Linked DNA regions of Callithrix jacchus. The protein of the gene in region 1 purifies or fractionates together with the protein of each later gene. This does not show direct contact. Links are inferred from orthologs where the notes say so. Each region holds a gene or a part of one and is shown on either strand. Other genes may lie near its edges.

The links.
Region 2: the proteins of IRF2BPL (region 1) and VGLL4 purify together in Homo sapiens (affinity purification with mass spectrometry; 3 studies listed by BioGRID and IntAct, counting the BioPlex papers as one, with this or other methods). This does not show direct contact. The link is inferred for Callithrix jacchus from reciprocal best matches to the Homo sapiens genes IRF2BPL and VGLL4.

Annotation. Positions count from the first base shown.
Region 1 is NC_133509.1:111,954,566-111,962,429, forward strand, and holds IRF2BPL (putative E3 ubiquitin-protein ligase IRF2BPL), read right to left. Parts: upstream 4,147-7,864; 5' UTR 3,233-4,146; coding exon 872-3,232; 3' UTR 18-871; downstream 1-17. UniProt on the Homo sapiens protein: Probable E3 ubiquitin protein ligase involved in the proteasome-mediated ubiquitin-dependent degradation of target proteins. Through the degradation of CTNNB1, functions downstream of FOXF2 to negatively regulate the Wnt signaling pathway.
Region 2 is NC_133516.1:68,808,640-68,815,750, forward strand, and holds part of VGLL4 (transcription cofactor vestigial-like protein 4), read right to left. Parts: intron 4,000-7,111; coding exon 3,810-3,999; intron 1-3,809. UniProt on the Homo sapiens protein: May act as a specific coactivator for the mammalian TEFs.

The DNA.
Region 1 (7,864 bases):
GCTGACTCGGCGCAGAATTAATATCAATTGAATTTATTACAAGTTACTAAGCTCCAAGGCACATTACAGTGTTCTGTTAACTACAGAAATGTATAAAGGACAAACAGAGCAGATTCTCCATGTCTAGCATTTCGCTCTACTGTTCAAAAGCATCCGTGCATCAAGAAAGCAAAAACAAAACAACACGTGTAGATCCAACACATTCAGGTCAGTAGAAACAAACCAAAGCATTTTCCCCTCACAAACTTGCAACAAAAAACACCCCGTCCCCCCCACACCCCCCTTACCATTTTGCAAACAAAACAGAAAAACGAAACAAAAACAGAACAAAATAAAGTGAAGACTTCAACACTTGGGGCAGTTTAGAAGGAAGCTTTCACCATTTTATAGCATCATTTTTTTTTTTTTTTTTTTTTTTTTTTTTAGGCAGCAACACTGGCCTTGGCAAAAAAAAAAAAAAAAAAAAAAGTCTTTTTCTTGTGTCTGTTTCTCCTTTCAGAGAGTGCATAACATTTACAAAAATACACACCAGCAGCAGTCGTTGCTAAGGGCTATTAATTCTGTACCTAGGCAAACATTCTGCCACCAAATAAATGCTAACGAATATGATGCAAACGACCCAACCAATATGATACTGCTTAACACAAACCAGCTTATCCTTCAAATGAAGAAGTTACATACCTTTGTTTCAAAATATAGAAACATACGACGAAAATAATGTCTATACATAAGACTAACTTTTTGCAGTTTTGTTATATTCACAATTCTACATCTTGGGGGTGAGGGAAGGGAAGGTCGAGGTGGGTGGGGGTGGGGCCCTCAGGATTGGAGAGGAGCTGGTCTGGGGCAAAGGAGGTGGCTGCCCGGTGGTTCAAGGGTCTCTCTCCTTTTTCACTTTAACATCCCCAGCTAAGATAGTCGCGATTTCGCCTTGCATGAAGGCCCAAGGTACATTCGACCCGACTAGGGGGCATTTCTCTCCGCTGGGGCAATACACCTCGCCGGTGGCCCCCTGGGCCTTGATACTCTCTCTAGAGCAAGGGAAGCAAAATTTGTGGCTGGGGACGGATGGGCACTGAACGAAATGCGTGTCCTCCAAACGTTCGTGGCAAATGGTGCAGCAGAGGGGTCCGCTGTTGGCCATGGGGGAATCCGGAATGTTCTGGGGATGCACTTGGTCCATGCCCGGATGGGCGCTAGGCGGCGGGGGCGCCACCTGTAAATTCAGGTCCCCGTTACGTGATGCCAAGCGGCGCTGGCCCGGCACGGAGGCCGGCGAGACTGGGCTGCTGCTGTTGCGCCGCGCGGACGCAGTGGTAGAGTGCACGGAACTGCCATCCTTGGGCGAGTGCGCAGTGCCCAGAGTATCTGCCACCGACATGAGGGCAGCCATGGGGGATGGACCGTTCTGGGGGGCTGACTCAGGTGGGGTGGTCCGGTTGGAATGGGGTCCCAGAGGTGGGGGCGGCGGAGGCGGACCCCCTGTCGCGTGCCCCGGCGCCGCGAAGCCCCCGGCGGACATGGTGAGCTTCAGCGCCTCGCTCTGGTTCGCCATCCACTGCTGCCTCTGCTGCTCCTCACCCAGCTTCAGCGCGCCCTCGGCTGGGTCCGGGGGCTCGGGAGAGGCCTTCCTCTTGCGCAGGCTGGCGGCTGCGCCCCGGCCCGAGGTCGCGGTGGACGGCAGGGCCCCGGTACCCGGGGGTGCGCTAGGGGCGCGGCTCAGACTCACCAGTGCTGTGGGTAGCATGGGGCAGCTAGCGTCCAGGTAGGGCTGGGGCAGCATGTCGGCGCCAGGCACGCCCTCCTTGAAGAAGCGCACGGCCTCGGGCAGCAGGTCCCCAAGCAGGCGCCAGTCCCCGGAGCCGTGCTTCTTTTCGTACTCCAGGTACTTGAAACCCGAGGACAGGCCCCGGCCGAAGTCCTTCATGCAGTCCTGGTACATCTGCTTGGCCACACCAGACGCACTGGAGTACACGTTGCCCGAGCCCGTGGGGTACTCAATGAACAGCTTCAATTCGTAGTCCATGCCGGGCTTGGAGACGGCGTCGAAGGCGAAAACGCGGCCCAGCAGCGAGTGGTCCTTCTTGAAGCGAACCTCGTAGGGCGTACAGCCCGCCAGCGTGAGCAGCGTGTCTCGGACCATCTTGGGCTTGTTGGCCCACTCCTCGGCGCGGTTGCGCAGGCTCTCGCTCAACTCGGCCAGGGCCTCGGCGTTGCGCTGCTTCTCCTTCAACTCGCGCTCCTGGTCCATGCTCGATACCGAGCCGGGCCTTTTGCCACCAGCACCCACGCCCACCTCCGCCACCGACGAAGAGGTCGAAGACGACGCGGACGACGTGGCCGATACACCCGGGTTACCCCCGAGACAAGCGGGGCCCCCGGGAGCCCCTGGGGGAGCAGGCGTCGGGGGCCCACGGCTGCCTAGCGCATGAGGCGGGGGTGGGGGGAGGACCGCGGCGCTGGCCGGGCCGTTAAGCAGTGTCTGCGGTAGCAGGTTGGGGGGCACGGTGAGCTGGGGACCTCCGCCACCCCCCGGATTGGGCAGCCCCGTCACCAGCCCACCGTGCGTCCCACGCCGGGACGCCACCGATGCCGCCGCTGAAGAAGAGTTGGGGCTCTGGCGATTCAGCTCTGGGGGTCCCTCCTCCGGTGCTGGTTTGGGGAAGCCGTTTGGGCCCCCCAGGCCGTTGGGCAGCCGCGCGGCGTGGCTGCTGCTTCCCAGGCTCACCGGCGGTGGCGGGTACTCGAAGCGGCTGCGCTGTTCCACGGCGGCGGCGGCGGCGGCGGCGGCGGCTGCGGCCGCGCTCAGGCCATAGCGCTCTAGGCCAGACGGGGCCGCCAGCACCGCAGGTTTGCTGGGACCATCTACGTGGTTGAGCTGCTGCTGTTGCTGCTGCTGTTGCTGCTGCTGTTGTTGTTGCTGCTGCTGCTGCGCGGCGGCCGCCGCCGCTGCCGCCGCTGCCGCGGCCGCTTCCTTAGCCGACAGGGCCACCGTCTTGACCCCGACGGGCGGCGGCGGCCCGGGGGAGCGGCCGTCCTGGAAGCAGCCGTGCGCCCGCTTCAGCTGGCGCGCGGTCTCGATCACGAACTCGATGCGATCGGCGCCCTCGTAGTTGACGCAACCGCGGCATACGGGTTCCGAGAAGTCCCAGATCATGGCCCAGGGCATGCGGGGCAGGTCGCACAGGTAACAAGATTGTCTCCGGGACGAGGACACCTGCGCCGCCGACATGATGCCTGCCCTGGGGAAGGTAGGCCCCCGCCCGGGCTGTCTCTGCGGCGCCTTCTCCTCCGGGAGGACTGGCCGGCTGGGGAGGGAGTCCGACTGCGGGGGAGGGAGGAGGGGGGCGAGAAAGTTCTGCCCCAGGGGCTGGAGGGCGCGCGAGTCTCCACCGCCGGCGCAGCGCCTCGCCGTGGGGCTCCACTGACCGGGCGGAGGACGGGTTCAGCCCGCTCTTCGCCCCCACCTCCTACTGCGGATGTCTCGTCGCGAGGGGAGCTCAGGAGCCTTCTTCCTGGTGCCGCGGACTTGGGCTGGAAGCTCCGGGCCCGAGGGGAGGGGGCGAGGGTGCCCGGTGCTGGCCGCCGTTGCCTCTTGGCCCCCTCCCCGGAGTGGCGGGTGCGTGGAAGCTCGAAAGGGGATGTCTCTTCCTTTCCCCGGGGGCCCCCCTACGAGCTGCGTCCTCTCCCCGACGGGCCCCCTGGGGCGAGGGCTAGAGAGTTCAGTGCCACCCGCTGCCCGGGTCCAATCTTGCTGAAGCCGCTGCTTCCCCGGAGGGCCGGGGGAGGGGGTGGTAGCCGAGAAAGGACCTTCTCCCCTCCGTGGCGTCGGCCGTTCCGCTGGCAACGGCTGGGTTTGCACCCAGGAGGGAGCCGCCGCGGCCACTGCTTCCAGGACGCACGAAAGCAGAGGAGAGGAGGGCACGCACGCAGGCTCCCGCCGCCCCCAGGCCTGGCCGGCGCCCGGGCCGCCGCGGCTGGCGGCGCTCACGTTGGCTGCAGGGCGCTCGCGCGGCGCCTCGGCCCGGGTCGCATCCCTTCCCGCTCGTGCTCGCGCTCGCCCGGAATGTGGGGTTGTGATTGTTACTCTACGTTCCGGAGGCGCGTCTCGGCGCTCCTGCTCCGGCTGCGGCTCGCGCTGTCCCCGGCTTGGCCGCGCGGGATGCCGCCCGGGCGGAGCGCTGACGTCACCGCCATGCTCTGCACCAGTTCTCCCCCCCTTTACACTTCCTCTGTGGAGCCCACTTGTTGCTCGGGAAAGGCGCATGCGCGGCAGGACGCCCAGATTCCTCCCAGCCGGCCCCTCCTCCGCGCCTCCGCCCTCCCCTCCCCCTCGCCGTGTGTGTACAACAGCTGAGGCCCGGCGAGCTAATGCTGGAAGTCCAGAGCTGGGGGTGGAAATTAAACAGATGATGACCTTTCCTTTCCCTGCCCGGCATTCCCAAGTAAAAACGCATTTAAGAACCAGTAGCGTCGCTTCCGATCCCTGCTCCCCACCCCCAAGCCCTGGCAGTGAATTTAAATGCCCTGTTTCGGGATTTTTCGTCGTGAATTTCGTATAAGGTATTAACCATTTCATCTGCGATCAAACCTTATCCCACCTGGCATGGATGTTACATTCAACGCCACCACTGATGCCGAAGCACCTGCAAACTTAGCTGTTTTCTAATCTTCCAGAAGCTGCCTTTTCTATTTGTTTTTGTGCCTTGGGTAGGAACCCAGGCTTCAACGATGGAGCTAAATTAATTCTGGGTGCGCTACCCTTCCCCCCAGCCGCACTCTAAAAATTTTGGCTGAACGTCTAAAGAAGATACGAGCACCCCGAGGCCTTTAAGGAAAGCAGTCAACTGGCTGCGCACAGCTGCAGTTGAGGGCAGGGAGGGGTAGGTGCAGGAGAGGCCAAACAGGTGAGGTTTTTCTAGCGTTTGATTTTTAAAAGGCGGGGGCAGTTTTTAATAATACTGATAACTTTGTATCTTTTTGTAAAACACAGCCGCAGTTTTTTTTTTCTTTCTTTTGTTTTTTTGGAGACGAATCTCACTCTGTCGCCCAGGCTGGAATGCAATGGCGCGATCTCGGCTCACTGCAACCTCCGCCTCCAAGGTTCAAGTGATTCTCCTGCCCTAGCCTCCCAAGTAGCTGGAACTACAAGCGCACGCTGCCACGCCAGGTTTATTTTTTCCACTGTGTTGCTGAGGCTGGTCTCGAACTCCTGAACTCAGGCAGTCGTGTCTGTGTCTTCCCCTCCCCCCGCCCGGCAAGGTGCTGGGATTTCGGGCGTCAGCCACCACACTCGGGGGGTGGGGGGGTATTTTTTGAATGGATGGATGGAGTTTTGCCATGTTGCCCAAGCTAGTCTTGATCTCCTGGGCCCAAGTGATGCACCCACGTTGGTCTCCCAAATTGTTGGTATTGCAGGCATGAGCCACCTCACCCAGCCTCAATTTGTTTCTTTTCATAATAGGAGATAACTCTTACTTAGCCTTGTTGTGAGACACTTAGTAAACTAGGTGGCTTACTTGCATCACCCTTAATATTATCTACAGTATTTAGGGGATATTATCTATAGTATTTTGTGGTGTTTGTTGATGTTTTGAGACAAAGTCTTACTCTGTTGCCCAGGCTGGAGTGAAGTGACATGATTTCGGCTCTACCTCCCAGGTTCAAGCAATTCTCCTGCCTCAGGCTCCTGAGTAGCTAGGATTACAGGCAACCACCACCACACCCGGCTAATTTTTGTATTTTTAGTAGAAAGAGTGTTTCGCCGTGTTGGCCAGGCTAGTATCGAACTCCTGACCTCAGGTGATCTTCCCTCCTCAGCCTCCCAGAGTGCTGGAATTACAGGCATGAGCCACCGCACCCAGCCTATTATACTATTAAACCCTTAATATTATCTACAGGGTAGATTCTTTTAACTCCATTTTACAAATCAGGAAAGTAAAGAGGCTATATAACTTGCCCACAGCCATTAGAGATGGAGCTATGATCTGAATCCAGTAAATATGATTTGAGAGGTGGCTTTGACAAGCTCAGGCTCACAGGTGGTTTGGGGTACTCAAAGTTCCCATCAGTCCCAGTGGATTTGATACTGCATACAATCTTATGTAAGTATTATTCAAATATACCTTCATAACCAACCCCCAGCCTCCCCTTACAAACAACAGATTTGTAACGCTGAGTTCTTTTTTTTTTTTTTTTTGAGACAGAGTCTTGTTCTGTCACCAGGCACCAGGCTGGAGTGCAGTGGCACGATATCGGCCCACTGCAACCTCCTCCTCCCGTGTTCAGTTAATTCTCCTGCCTCAGCCTCCCAAGTAGCTGAGACTACAGATGTGCGGCACCATGCCCAGCTAATTTTTGTATTTTTTAGTAGAGACAGGGTTTCACCATGTTGGCCAGGATGGTCCCGATCTCTTGACCTCATGATCTGCCCGTCTTGGCCTCCCAAAGTGGTGGGATTACAGGCATGAGCCACTGTGCCCAGCACCACTGAGTTCTATATACAGAAGCTGTAGATCTGCCACTACCAGACTGTAACCTAAATTCACCATACAGAATGGAGAGCACAGTGTCGGACTCACAGTGTTAGTTATTATTAGTATCGATACTAGGGTTGGTACTATTGCTGGTTAACATGTGACAGTACTTTCTAAATTGCATAAAATGTAAGGGTCATTATTCGTATCACTCCTATTACTAATTGCAATAAAGCTCATGGAAGCAACAAGAGATATTTATTTTTATTTTGGCCCTTCACCTCCAGAGACTCTTCCCCTATCCAACACTCCCCGGAGCTGCAATCTCCCACTCATTCTGGGGCTCCCAAGTGCAAAGGAAAGGCGAGGTGTTTTGTCCGTTTGCTTTAATTTTTTTTATAGAGATGGGGTTTCACCATGTTGGCCAGGCTGGTCTTGAACTCCTGACCTCGTGATCCACCCATCTCAACCTCCCAAAGTGCTGGGATTACAGGCATGAGCCTTGTTTTTTCTTTTAAGGCAGAGTTTCACTCTTGTTGCCCAGGCTGGAATATAATGGCACCATCTTGGCTCACTGCAATCTCCACCTCCCGGGTTCAAGTGATTCTCCTGTCTCGGCCTCCCAAATACCTGGGATTATAGGTGCATGCCACCAAACCTGGCTAATTTTTGTATTTTTAGTAGAGACAGGGTTTCATCATATTGGTTAGGCTGGTCTCGAACACCTGACCTCAGGTGATCTGCCTGTCTCCACCTCCCAAAGTAATGAGATTACAGGAGTGAGCCACTGCGCCTGGCCAGAAAGGTCAGTTTTTAAGCACAGAAAAGGAGGAGGAGCCCTAGGGAGCCCCGCTTTCATCTCAAAGCCAGATTTCTGTTTTTGCAAAACAGTGAGCTCACAGTGCACTCTAGAGCAATAATAAACTTTCTCTGGCCTGCTGGCACTTTGCAGTGATTCCTCTGCAAAGAGCTGCTTGGGGAGCATTGCCTCACTCTCCCAGACTTCAGCCCTCCACACACCACAGCTACCCTGAAGTGAGTCAAAACACAGGGCTGGGAAATGGTTTGACATCCCTGCCAGCTCAGGGCTCCTTAGCTTTGGCTTGGCTGGTTGACCCATTACTTTACATTAATATTTATTCAGCCCTTCCCTTTATTAAACCAAAAATATTGGGGAAATAGCAACTTAGCCACAACCCTCCAGCCAGGCTGCTAGAGAAAGCAAGTTGAATTCTGTGTCATAGTGTTATGTTTGGTATGCACACACATATGTCCCTTCTCCCTGTCTGTCTCGTCTTCACTGTTACTAAAGGGAGATACATACACACACATACATGCCCGGGTGCCTTCAGACACTCTGACTTAGAAATCAACATGTACTTAAACAG
Region 2 (7,111 bases), on another chromosome or scaffold:
TAGAGACGAGGTTTCACCACGTTGGTTAGGCTGGTCTCGAACTCCTGACCTCAAAGTAATCCATCTGCCTTGGCCTCCCAAAGTGGTAAGATTACAGGAATGAACCAATGAGCCCAGCCTCTGTTGCTTCGTACTATGGCTCAGAGTCACCTGATGTCTCCATCTTTCTTCTAGAAAATGTCTCTGTATGATGGTTATAATAAAATGTAGCCAAACCATGCATCTTTGAGGCCTTGTTAGCTAGCTACCAAAACTAGTTTTCTTTCTCCCTCCCTCCCTTCCTTCCTTTTTTAGAACCAGGGTCTCCCTTTTGTACCCTGGCTGGAGTGTAGTGGTGTGATCACAGCTCACTGCAGCCTTAAACTTCTGGGCTTAAGCTGTTCTCCCACCTCAGCCTCCCAAATAGCTGGGAGCACAGGAGCACTCCTCCAGGTCAAGCTAATTTAAAAATTTTTTTTTTAGAGATGGGGTCTTGCTGCCCGAACTCCTGGACTCAAGCAATCTGCCTGCCCCAGCCTCCTAAAATGCTGGGATTACAGGCATGAGCTAACACACCCAGCCAAAACTCTTTTCCAATAACACTCCTTTCCCCAGAATTCTTGTGATTGCTTTAGTGATCAAATAAATCGTATTTTCATTACATGTCATTAACAAACTCTAAGAAGATAAAGCACAAAACCCATTTTGGGATCTCCTTAAAGAGGCAAATACACTAGACTATTCCTTTTCAAATAATTATGAATCTGAAATGTACTACAGATAACTTCTGAGACATTAAATCTAAAGGGGGGAACATAACTATAGCCCAATAGGAAATATTTCATTGAATGGCAGCACTAAATACCCTACAACACGAAGAAGTAAGATAGGCAGCATCTTTCCAATCTGTCATTAGGCTCCTAGAAAATACAGTAGAAACAATGGTAATGTTACTAAAATTAGTAACTATCACACAGTAAACAAGTAACACTCAGAAGGACCTAACCACACACTGATGGCCTTTCCTACTTATACTCTGCACTTAAAAATGGTTAAGAAAATACATTTTATAGTATATATATACTTTTTACCATAATTTTAAAAATGGGGGGAGAGCCACCTGGCTGGTGTAAGGGAGTCTGAGACATGGGGTTACTGCTGTTTCTATTTTCCTAAAACTTTGCATAATAATGTCAATTGGGAGTTTCACATACAATTCAGCAATTCTGGCCAGGTGCCGTGGCTCGTATCTGTAATCCCAGCACTTTGGGATGCCAAGGCGGGCAGATCACAAGGTCAGGAGTTCAAGACCAGCCTGGCCAACATGGCAAAACTCCATCTCTACTAAAATTACAAAAATGAGCCGGCATGGTGGCACATGCCTGTAGTCTCAGCTACTCAGGAGGCTGAGGCAGGAGAATCACTTGAACCCAGGAGGTGGAGGGTGCAATGAGCTGAGATTGTGACACTGCATTCTAGCCTGGGAGGCAGAGTGATGCTCTGTCTCAAAAAAAAAAAAAAAAAAAAAAAATTAGCGATTCTATTCTTTACATTTAAAATTATTTATAGCGTCATCACAGACCCATACACATCAAGTTCATATCTGTAGCCCCCAAGAGAGTTGCAAAATTATTTTCCTTTTTTGTTTTTAGACAGAGTCTCACTTGGCTCACTGCAACCTCCACCTCCAGGTTCAAGCGATTCTCATGCCTCAGCCTCCCAAGTGGCTGGGATTACAGGCACCCACCACCACACCCAGCTAGTTTTTGTATTTTTTTAGTAGAGAGAGGGTTTCACCATATTGCCTAGGCTGGTCTCAAACTCCTGGCCTCAGGTGATCCACCCACCTCGGCCTCCCAAAGTGCTACGATTATAGGTGTGGGCCACTGTGCCTAGCCACAAAATTATTTTCTAAACGTTTTAACATTCTAATAATAACTAAACCTGAGTGCTTACAATCGGCCAGGCACCGTACTTAAGTCCTTACAATAATCCTATGAGGAAGGAATCAACATTATCTTCGATGAAATGCCAAGAAAGCAGATTTGAACCCAGTCATTTTTATTAAAAGGCATATATTATCAAACATTAAATCCACCACACACACACACACACACACACACACACACTCTTCTTTATCATTATAACCAGTATCTGAACAATGGAATAAAAATAACAGCTCTCTTCAACTGAGTGCAACACCGTGCCAAGCTCTTTGCCTATTTTAACTCTAATCCTCATAACAGCTCTATACATTAACTATTATTATCGTCAAGGATACTGGGCCCAGCTAAATTAAGTGACTTGTCCAAAGCCTCACAGTTGCTGTGTGGCAGAAGCAGGATTTAAATTAAGGCATGTTTGTCTGCAGGCTGCCTTCCCCTTTCTTACTTATAAAAAGAAAAGAAAAAAGAACAAATGCTCGTATTGGGGTTTGGAAAAGAAGGATGGGAAAGAACAAGAAATTTGTGGTAATAAAAGAATGAACTGCAACAGTTGAGCACCCAGGAGTTCAGCGAGCCCTAACTGCGGAGTGCATTGTTTGCAGGGCCTTCCTGCTGGATTCCTGATGGTAGCAAATTCCAGGGCTCCAGACTGCAGGCTCAGCCTCTGACTAACACTGCAGTGATTTATTTGAGGATAAATACCTCTGTCAGTGTCTTATGACTGAACACAACAGTCCAAGCTGACTGGAACGAGCGGAATGCGAGGACGCTGGAGCTGAGGCAGCAGAGGCGGGAGCTGGGCCACCTCTCTGCGGAAGCTCTGCCTCCAAGGAGGAGCCTTCCCTGCTCTACCTTCCTGTGGGGAAACAGCAGCACCCTCAGAAACTGGAGCATGTTGAAAATGAGGAAACACTGACTCATGCTGGAGTGAGTGCTTAGGGCAGGGAAGGGGGAGGACCTCTGTACCTGCACACGCAAAACTCCCTCCGATACTCAGTGCAGCCTCACCAGGATTGGCAAGACAACTCCGAGAACACCAACTGCCCTCACCACTGTCCCCAGTCTCCCTGGGCAGGTGATGGGGTGTCTCCAAGTCCTGAAAACTGGGGAGAAGCCTATCCCTTTGCACCCGGGGTGTGTGCCGAGAGCAGAGTACAAACGGGAGAAGCCAGTGCATTGAAGCGGGAGGCTTTTCCAGTAGAAACGTGGTGATGATGCACAGATACAGAGAACTGTAGTTTCAGCCCCTGTTGTTTCACAAACAAGGAAACTTAGGCCAATGAGTTGAAGCAATTCGTGTCAAGAAGGTAGAGTGTCAGTGGCAGATAAAGGACTGGCTGGATGTGATGAGTGGCAACCTGTATGAGCATAGGAAGCTGGCTTCCCTTTATGGGAAGGTCCCAAGATTGTACCAGGGACACGCAACGTGGGACAAACACTTCTTCGTGTACAATCCTAGACTCCTGAGTAAAACCTTAACAGGCATCTGCTCAGGTGCTGACCTTCCCTTCTATTTGTCTGGTGCATACTGATATTCACTAACACTGATTCTCCTAAAAACAATCAGTATGTAGAGGTGAAAAGCCAAGCTTAGCAGATGACTACTTGCAGAAGCTCTAAGGGGACATTAACTTCTTTGGAGTTTAACATGAGAAAGGTCCTACGACAGGTACGCTGGAGGGAAGTTGGACTTCATCTCTCCACAAGTTATCAAAATGAGTTACTACCTTCTTTTTGTCAGACAAACGCTATTTTTCTTCATAAATAATATCCTTTACAAATTAAGTATTCAAATGGTAACTTCAGAATCAGCACAAAGTTGCAAAACAAACAGGGTCCCAGCACGGAGCGCCCTTAAGCCAAAATAAGAACAGAAGAACTCACAGATGGGGGTTGAAGATGCGACTCATCTTGGAGACGTGGTCACTGTCACAGTCTAGGTCCTCGTCACCTGGCTCCATGCTGAATTTCCTCTTGCTGGGGCTGATGGGGGGAGGACCAGTTCGGTGACTGCTGAGGGCAGAGGCCACTGGCAGGGTCTGCATTCTGGGTTCTCCCCTGAGAGCAGCTTCACCTATGTAGAGAGAGATGATGTGGTCACCAAGCAGGAGAAAGGCCCCCATCTCAGTACCCCAGGCTCCCTGCCCGCCAAGCCAGCCCCTTGCAAAACTGCTCCCAGTGGAAAGTTTTTGGCAGTGGGATGGGGCCGCCTGCCATCCTCAGAACACGGTTTGAGTGTGGTGAGCTGCCAAGCATGAGACATTTTACATCAACGCGGTTTTCTAGCACAATTGCCCTTCAGGGTAGAGTTTAAAATAAAGAGTTGCAATCAAATAGCAGCAGGGAGGCAAAAAGCATTTGCTGTAAACAATCTCAAAAGTTAATTTAAAACACCAAAGGTCTTTTCACGTGTGGGTATTCCATTCCATATGGACAGGAGAATAACCTCACTGCAATCATGAAATCACCATACCCAACTCACTTTTCCTGCTTGTTCTTTATTATTATTATTATTTCTTGGTATATTATTTACTTTAAAAGAATGAGGAAAGTTTATGGGCTAATAGTTCACAACATTTGCTCCCTAAAGTTATAAGAAATATAAATATATCATTTAATGGGAAATAAATGTTTGTTATAGTCCACTAAAAATTGCACATTAAAAAGATTATTACCAGCACAAAACTTCAGCATATAACTTATCACAAGCATAATATGTAGGTAGGTGCAGTTCTGAAACATTTTTCAAAGTTAGGCAATCAAATTAGGATCCAAATTTCCATTTGATTTGGTATCCTGGCGCTTTTCGTAACTGTTTTAAAAGGTTTTGCACTAGGTAATCACTTTGTGCCTTGCTGTGAAGTAAAATAAGCATAGCCTTTCATACTCATAAAGGTTGTGTACCTTCTAAACTTTGTAAAGACTAATGATTGGGCCAGGTGCGGTGGCTCATGCCTGTAATCCCAGCATTTTGGGAGGCCAAGGCGGGTGGATCACAAGGTCAAGAGATGGAGACCATCCTGGCCAACATGGTGAAACCCCGTCCCTACCAAAAATACAAAAATTAGCCGGGCATAGTGGCACACGCCTATAATCCCAACTACTTGGGAAACTGAGGCAGAGAATTGCTTGAACCCAGGAGGCAGAGGTTGCAGTGAGCCAAGGAGTGCACTGCATGCCTGCCTGGGCAAGAGAGTGAGACTCTGTCTCAAAAAAAAAAAGACTAATGATTAAAAGAAAATTTCGAACTTTCTAAGTCACATGGGGAGAGCACCTAAATTTTTCATCAATAATAACCCTTTTTTTGTGCTGGACATTTGGGTCTCTCCGATCTGGCCCATTTTGTTTCCACTGGGTCACAGTTTGAGAGTAATATGAGGATAAAGTCAACGTCATCTCAGGCCTTGTGGTACATAAGAAAAAGAATCTTTGTTTGTCACCACTCATTTTCGTATCATCACAGACGTGTGGACAGTGTTCACAGTCATTTATTTCATACACATATGACAAATATGATTTTGTTGGAGAAAGGAGTGAGGAAAAAACCCTCTGAATATTTACCAGGAAAAATAAAAACTCTGCCAATTTAGTCAGCAAGATATAAACCAGCAAATATACAGTGACCCATAATACACCTCCAGCCAGGATTTCTTTTAAGGATTCTGGCCCCAAAGCAAAATGGAACTTTCCATTTTAAATGAGATACCTAAAACACAGGCCCCACACTGGCCTGCCACACTCAGAAATTCGGTATGATCTTGGTTGGCCTGTATTCCCTATCAGGTAATTTTTCATTAAAAAAAAAAAAAAAAAAAAAAAAAAAGGGAGTGTTAATCTGTATACCTTCATAAATGAGAAAAATATCCTTTCTAATTATCTCCCTTCTTTGTGATACTTCCTCCTCCACATAGAGAGAAGAGGGTGTTTCCAAGGGAAAGCTTCAGAAGCCCAAGCCCAGCTAACTTTCTGGGAAGCCCTGATGATACCCCCAGGAATGCAGCAACTGCCAATCAAACCTCATCAAAATGGCACGGGCTGAACCTCCTCTCCCAGGGTTTCTCAACACTCCTGGCAGGGATGCAAGGGGATGAGGAGTTGTACCCCTGAGCTGTGGTCATCATTTCATCAGATGTCAGCTGTGTAGCAACAGGAGTTGCTATGGAAATAGCACTACAGCAACAGACTAAAATCACTCCAAAAAAGGAGCTGTCACTCATTCCAACAGCATACACTGTGACGCGGAGAGCAAAACCCTTGGGTTCAGAACAACATTCCCACTCCCCTCCCCAGTTTCCATCCTAGTAAAAATTCTCGTGCTTGTTTGCATTTTAAGTTCATCCAATGGATGCAATGCTTATCTTTAAGACTGAATCACTGATGTCTAACATAGGAAAAAAATTCCACAAGAATCCTCAGAAAACACTGGAGATTTCTAACCAGTGGGTTGGGGTGGGACTGGGTCTGGGGCTACAGGCCCCATAAAGGCACTCCAGATGTCCTTTACCAGGGACTGTTACAGAAGCCTCCAATAGGTCCTCTGGAGATGGAGGTAAATGCGTGCTGTAGCACATCAGCATCTTAGGATGCTGACACTGGAAGGAGCCTGGGAAACACCATTTGCCTCATTTGATGGGTAACAAAGCTGTGCCCCAAAACAGTGTGACCTACCCAAGATCCTCCAGTTAACAGGTTAGCTGGAGGCAAGAGCCCAGGGCCTCTGCAATCCGACAACACTTCCTCGTTAGACTGTGCAGCCTCACACAAGGCTTAGAGCAAAGGAAAAGAATCCGCACAGAAGGTCACAGACAGTTGTGTGGCTTTATGCATCTTTGGGGCCCCTTCCTAGATGGCCCTAACCCAACACCTGTATTTTAGACAGGAGTGGTGACTGTTGTATGTGTGGTGGGGTTAAAATTATTTTAGTAAAATTGAAGAAAACATTTGGTCTGGGAGACAAGACACTTACATTGCAATCTTGCCTCTTCCTTTATTTAGGACGGGGTGAATGTGGGCACATGCTTCCCGTCTCTGGGCCTCCATATGACGAGAGGCTAGACTAGCTAATGTGTCATGCTCCTTCCAGCTCTTAGTTACTGATGCAATTCTATGATCAACAAGTGATCAACCAACTAACCAACATTTACTAAGAAACTGTTATTTGCATAATGATGAACTAAGACAGCAAA